Canis lupus familiaris: one gene and its partner. The protein of the gene in region 2 purifies or fractionates together with the protein of the main gene of each other region. This does not show direct contact. Links are inferred from orthologs where the notes say so. Each region holds a gene or a part of one and is shown on either strand. Other genes may lie near its edges. The genes, in order: KBTBD7 and TEFM.

Evidence for each region.
Region 1: the proteins of TEFM (region 2) and KBTBD7 purify together in Homo sapiens (co-immunoprecipitation; 5 studies listed by BioGRID and IntAct, counting the BioPlex papers as one, with this or other methods). This does not show direct contact. The link is inferred for Canis lupus familiaris from reciprocal best matches to the Homo sapiens genes TEFM and KBTBD7.

Annotation. Positions count from the first base shown.
Region 1 is NC_049243.1:9,372,679-9,377,028, reverse strand, and holds the start of KBTBD7 (kelch repeat and BTB domain-containing protein 7), read right to left. Parts: upstream 3,032-4,350; 5' UTR 2,749-3,031; coding exon 709-2,748; 3' UTR 1-708. UniProt on the Homo sapiens protein: As part of the CUL3(KBTBD6/7) E3 ubiquitin ligase complex functions as a substrate adapter for the RAC1 guanine exchange factor (GEF) TIAM1, mediating its 'Lys-48' ubiquitination and proteasomal degradation.
Region 2 is NC_049230.1:40,837,783-40,840,436, reverse strand, and holds the end of TEFM (transcription elongation factor, mitochondrial), read right to left. Parts: coding exon 2,579-2,654; intron 1,251-2,578; coding exon 813-1,250; 3' UTR 612-812; downstream 1-611. UniProt on the Homo sapiens protein: Transcription elongation factor which increases mitochondrial RNA polymerase processivity. Regulates transcription of the mitochondrial genome, including genes important for the oxidative phosphorylation machinery.

The DNA of each region.
Region 1 (4,350 bases), on a different chromosome or scaffold from region 2:
TGATTTTTTTTTTTTTTTTTTTTTTTTTTACTTTCTGTGAGCTCTTAAGACCATTCTGCACATTATCAAAATGAAATCCCTATTTGGATGGATGTATATATTTATATATATATATATATATATATAACCAATTTTTTTTCTTTGCAGAAGGGGAGAAAACCACACCAAATTTAACAAACGATAGAAACGATAGTAACTTATAATACTAGAAACTGGCTAGTTCAAAATTTGGGAAATCTACTACTTTCATTATTCTAAAAGAAAATACAACCTTCAAAACCCTACCAACAATTTCTAGTTCAATTTTCTACTATAAAAATTAAAAAGTTAAATTCCTTGTGGCACTAAGTTGAATTAAAACGTTAACAGAAGACAAACGTAGATAATCAAAATATAAACAGTGTAAACTAACCAAAACAATCCACTGGTGCAACAAATACTCGAACAACCAAGAAACCACCAAGCATTCTAATCAGTTACATAGTTTGTTTTTGCATATTTTAATCTTGACTTTTAGCATAATAAATTATCATATAGGTTGATTTCATGGACTGTTTAACTTTGTAACATTACATTAGTAATTCAAATGTTACCCTTTCTAAACCAAATCTGCAGTCCTAATCAACATTTTTTTTTTCATGAAAAGGAAGGGATATCTTTTAAAGATACATTCCATAGAAGTAGAAACATCTTAGTGCTTCAAAATATTTACAAAGAACCCTGATGATCCTGTGCATTTCCCTGAGGTGCCACCTGCACCCAGACTTCATCATCGGAAAAAGAACTTGAACTTCCTGACTCCGAGTCCAGCTCACTGAATCCATCTAAGTCCCATTCAGTACTAGACTCACTCCGTGCATCATCTTCCTCAGTGATAAAACTCTGTCCAGGTTCAAGGCAGGAAGGATAAACACGAGCACAGAGGCAAATAAAGCCAGAGTCAAACTGCAAAAGACCTAACATGGTACCTATATTAATCCACTGGTCTTCCCTAGTATCGTATTCATAAACAGTCACCCGGTTTTTTTTCCACTGAGGGGTGGTAGAAGTAATGAGGAGCAACTTTTGGCCATGATTGACAATCTGGTAGTTGTGGGTCTCTGAGTCCAAGGGGATATTACTAATCCGCCTCCATTCTCCCCTGGCTGGGTTGTAGACCTTCATGACCGGGATGTCGCAGATACAGTAGATCTCATCATTGAAGACACAGGCTTCCTGAAAGTCACTACGTTTAAGAGAAGCACAGTTCAGCCATGTATTGTGGCCCGGGTCATAGTAGAGCATGCGCTTACTGTTCACAGCATAAAGATAGTTCTGAACCACTATTAGTTCAAACGAATAGAAGGAATGGGGTACAGGAGCCACCAGTGCCCACTGGTTTCTCTGGACACTGTAGCACTCCACTTCCTTCAGTTTAACACCGGTAATGGGGTCTCGCCCACCCAAAATGTAGATGTAGCCATTGAGGTAGGCCACATCCATGCCCTCCCGGCACAGCAGGCGGTCGGCCAGCTGCTGCCAACTATTCTGGGCTGGCTTGTACACCCAGAGGTCCTTCCTGGGCTGCGCGGCCAGGTAGATGTCATGGTCTGGAGAGACGCAGACAGCTGAGGAAGTGACAGTCTTGGTGTGAGCCAAGCTGGTTAAAGGGGATGGCATGGTGTAAATGTCCCCTGAGTATGGGTCGTAGCACAGAAAGGGATCTCGGGGATGTCCAAAGAAGATCACCATCTCCTTGGCACACATACCCAGCCTCTGGGGTGGGTTTTCTGCTGTGGGCACAACACAGCTGCTGCTGCTATCTGGTTTGGGCACCAGAGCCTTGCACAGCTTGTCACCATAGCGCATCTGCAGGGCCCCCTCGATAAGGTCCAGACAGTACTTTTTCACAATGGGCTTGGTCAGCAGCCCCTCCAGGTAATCCTGATCCTCTTCTCTGAAGTGTGTCCAGCGGACACACTTGAAGACTTCCGCAGCGCTGGGTCCGCGCTCCTTGGGAGCCGCCTCCAGCCACTGCACGGCCACGTGACACACGGTCCGCTCGCTCTCGATGTCTAGACTATCCAGGCGCAGGATGGACAGCAGCTGGGCCAAGCTCAGATCCGCCAGGCTCTCCTCCCTTACTGAGCCCATCCGGCTGAGCTGCCTGAAATTGTGGGCTATGAAGGACTGGGCCTGGGATCGCAGCTTATGATGGTCGAAGGCGTCGGCGAACTTGAGGATGGCGGTGCAGTTGGCCAGGTCGAGGCGGCGGGCCAGGAAGGAGGCGCAGGCCTCCCGCACGTACTCGAGCTGCAGCATGTCGGAGGCCGCGTACAGGCGCTGCACGTTGGCCTCGCTCAGCGACACGCGGCCCGTGTAGCAGTAGTCGACCAGCACCTCGAAGGACTCGGCGTCCACGTCGTGCATGGTCACGTTCGCCTGGTGGCTCTCGTACATGCCGCCCGTGAACATGCTCTTGAAGTAGGGACACGCGGCCGCCAGCACGTTCCGGTTGCAGGGGAAGAGGCGGCCGGTGCCGGGCCCGCTGCCGGGCGTCACCACCTCGATGGTCACGTCGCACAGCAGCCGCGCGTCGTAGAAGGACTTGAGCTGCGCCAGGAGGGCTGCGGAGTGAGCCGCGTCCTTCAGCTCCTCCGGGCCCGTGAAGAAAGCCGAGACCGAGGGCTTGGAGATCCTCTTGGGCCGCCTGCCGCCGCGGGGACTGGCCAGGCGGCGGGGGCGCGGAGCCTCTTCCCGGGACTGCATGGTGGAGATGGCGGCGGGGTACGAGGGCGAGAACGGGTGCACGGACCGGGCGCGGGCTCCTCCTCGCCCTCTCCTCGCCTTCTCCCTGAAGAGACTGCAGGGGCCGCACTTACCCAACTCAGCCCCGCGCCGCGGTGCCGCCTCCCTTTATCGCGTAGCCAGCGCCTGACTCACCCGCTTCCAGTTCCGCGCCCTTTTCTCCGCCTCAGCTCGCCTTACAGAACCCGGCTGGACGGAACCGAGAGAGCCGCCACTGCCGCGCTGGCAATACCGGTAGGCGTCCAGCGGAACTACGGCTCCCAGGCTGCCTTTCGCGCCCCGAGGCATGCCGGGGCCCCTCCAGACTCCAGGGGATCGGCGGGCGGGCCGGAGCCGCTGTGCACGCTGGGAGTGGTAGTTCGAGGAATATCGCGAGGTTTCTCCGGGCGGGCGGACTTTTAGCTGACAGAATTCGAAAAAGCGTTAATCTGGGTTTGTTGGTTTTAGAGCTTTGGCTTTGATGTTCTTTTTTATTTAAAAAAAAAAAAAATCTCCGTTTTGGTATTGGTCTTCTCTCTGAGAACTTTCCCCTCTTTGTAAAGCGGGGGATACGAGTTTTCATAGGATTATGTGAGAGTGGGAGCGAGGTGGATTTGCGCAGGTCCCAGGATGCTTCAGCGAATACCTGCTGATTAATCACATGCTTGCAAGTGCCTGGAATATACAGATTCAGCCACTGGTGGCGTCTCCCAATGCGTTTTTAAAAATGTGCCCGCGTGCGAAGCCGTGAGCGATTTGTGTGAGGAATCTTAATTTTACTGTTGCTTCTTTTGAAGGGTTCTTCTGAAGGCTACCACCATCTTTTCAGAACTAAATGAGATCCACAGGTTCGTTAGGGTGTCGTGGACAAGGATGAGGTCCTGGCGAACAGCGTTGAGAGGTGGCCTCCGACGTGCGGCTCAGGCCTCCGACGTGCGGCTCAGGCCTCTGACATACAGCTCAGGCCTCTAACAGGCAGCTCAGGCACATGCATAGCTGGGCTGACCTCTCACCAAATCAATATTTACGCAGGGGGAGCAGGATTACTTTCATAAGCTTTTTTTTCTTTTTTTTTAAATTAAGATTTTTATTTACTTATTAGAGAGAGAATGCACAAGCAGGGGAGTGACAGGCAGAGGGGGAGGGAGATTACAGGCTCCCTGCTGATAGGGCCGGATCCCAGGACCCCGGGCAGGCGCCTAACCGGCTGAGCCACCCAGAAGCCCTTTCGTAACCTTTTAGCAGGAATGTTTTGGTCTAATACTGCTCGTTTCCCTTCCTCTCCACAAATCAGCCTAAGATTATGTAGTTATCTTTATCAAGGAGATAAAAACGGGAGTTGTAGATTAAAAGATTTAAACAAACAGACCTCAGAGCTCTGTATTCATGCATGCCCCAGTTTTTTTTTTTTTGTTTTTGTTTTTTTTTTTAAGATTTTATTTATTCATGAGACACACACACACAGAGAGAAGCAGGCTCCATGCAGGAAGCCCAATGTAGGACTCAATCCTGGGTCTCCAGGATCAGGCCCTGGGCCAAAGGCAGCGCTAAACTGCTGAGCCCCCTGGGTTATCCAGTATTTTT
Region 2 (2,654 bases):
GAGACTTGGGTTTAAGACTGGTAAGATATGAGGGCCTGAACTAATTCAAATGTAGTGGGAAATGTGAGTTAGGAAAAAAAATGCTACTCTTCTCAAAAGATGGTTTATCTAGGAGTGCCTGAATGGTGTAGTCAGTTAAGCCCCTGACTCTTGGTTTTGACTCAGATTGTGATTTCAGAGTCCTAGGGTCAAGCCCCAAGTCAGGATCCATGCCTAACATGGAGTCTGGTTGGGATTCTCTCCCCTAATCTTTAAAAAAAAAAAAAAAAAAAAAAAGTTGGTCTGTCCAAGTAAAATATTTTGAAGTGAAAAAAATGAACCTATTAGACAAAGCTTGTTTGTTCTGGGCCTGATAGAATTAATGAAAATCACCTTTTGGAAGTAGTACATCAAACCACATACTACTTACAGAATTAACAGAATTTCATAAATTGTGTTCCTGATTATATTTAGTGTTATTCCCATGATGAATTCCACCCAGAAAAGTCATTTTCCCTCCTTTAATGATGCGAATCCTTTAGTATAGGATGGAATTAGCTTTTCAGGGGGAATAACTTTCTTGTTTGGTCTGTTTAGGAGACCTCTTACTTTTAACACATAAACCCAAAAGGTTCAGAATCTCTTAAGGTATTTATTGACTTGGCTTATTCTGTGAACAATTCAACAGCTGGAAGTCTGACTTTAAACATCCAAATACAAACATGTTTTCTTCTCCATAAACATGGATGTTAAAAACAGTTGGCTTTATGGCTTTAGAGCTAATAAATATAAATTAATATAACATCAGAGTTCTTTATATTAACCTCAGCATTTTAAGGTTCGGTGTCAAAAACTGCTAATTCATAGAAGGCAACGGCTTGTAATAGGGAATCATATAACTCTTCTGCTCTCTTTTGCTCAGTAGATGAAAACATCTGTCTGTAGCGTACAATCTTCTCCTTAGGGAAGACGACCCGAGGGTCTTCCTTCAGAACAGACTCTGTGAGGAGCTGCTTCACCAGCTCTTTTCCACTAGTCCGTGTGTCCCCAATCATCAGTTCAAAGTGCTTCCCCACTCCATTTCGATTCATGCTCAGCACCCGATGCTGGCCATCCTGGGCAAACGTTTTGTTTAATAAGGCATACAGCATGGCTTCCATGATATGAAAATGTAACAGTAGGGGAAACCGAGATGTGTTCTGAATTGAAAGCCCTATTTTTTCCAGAACGTAGAAGTCAGCTGTAGGTATCTTTGAAATGACTGAAGAAATCTTTAAAAAAAAAAAAGAAAAAAATAAGTGAATAGAAATAATTAAGTTTTGTTGTTTGGGTTCCTTCTCCCATTTCTATTTTTAAAATACATAATGTACATTATACTATTACTGTTTTTGAAAACTGAAAAATAATTTTATGGAGAAGTCAGGACAGCCATGTTCTGCTCATGGTTCTATCTGGAATAAACTGAGCTAAGGCAAATCACTTAGTCCTCCCAAGTACTAGTTTCTTCATCTGTAAAATGGACTTCAAAATTTCTAAAATCTACTGACTTTAAGATTAGACAATTTAAAATGTTTATTAACCTTTTAAAAATATGTAGAGTAGAGCATAGGGTTAGAATAACTAGCCTCCATCAGAGGTGCCTGGGTAGCTCAGTGGGTTGAATGTTTGACTCGATCTCAGCTTGGGTCTTAACCTCAGGGTTGTGAGTTCAAGCCCTATGTTGGGTTCCACGCTGGGTGTGGACCCTACATAAGAAAAAAAATACCTAGCCTACAATCCTGTCAGATGCCCTGATTGATTATACCAGTTTTCATATATGTAATCAGGATGGTAATTACTGCCCATCTCACAAGGTTTTGAAGACTCCAATAAGACAATTAGTGAGCATTCTGAAAAATAAGCTTTGGGGCAGCTACGTGGCTCACTCAGCTAAGCGTCTAACTCTTGATTTCAGCTCAGGTCACGATCTCAGGGTCCTGGAATTGAGCCCCACATTTGCTCTAGGATTCTCTCCCTATCTCCCTACCCCCAACCTTGCTCTGTCTCTCTAAAGTAAATATATATATTTTTTTAAATGAAAAATAAGGGGTGCCTGGGTGGCTCAGTTGGTTGAGCATTTGCCTTCGGCTCAGGTCATGATCTCAGGGTCCTGGGATCAAGCTCCACATCGGGCTGGGCTCCCTACTCAGCAGGGGAGTCTGCTTCTCCCTCTCCCTCTGCCCTTCCTCCTGCACACACATTCTCTCTCTCAAATGAATAAACAAAATCTTTTAAAAAATTTAAAATAAGCTTTATAAATAGAGTGATGAAGTCCTGTAATATTTAGGATAATGTACTTTACCACCAATTTTCTCAGTATCTGCCTTTGATATATTAAGGTATTTCATGAACTAAATGAAGAAGATTCAAATTTTAAAAATCATAGGTGACAGAAAACATGACAGGAATGGGTAATTTAAAAAAAGAAAAAAAGAATGGGTAATAATAACCCAAAGGAAATCTATCTGTAGTATTACATTAGATTCCCTTTAGGACTAGAAGGTTAAACCACACAAGGAGATATCTAGCAGGCAGAAATCTAGAGGGGCAGCTGCTTTACCTTTTGTAAATAGACAGATGATAAGTATGTTCCTTTCATCAATTGGCAACAGTCATTCTGCTGCCAGTCCAGCACT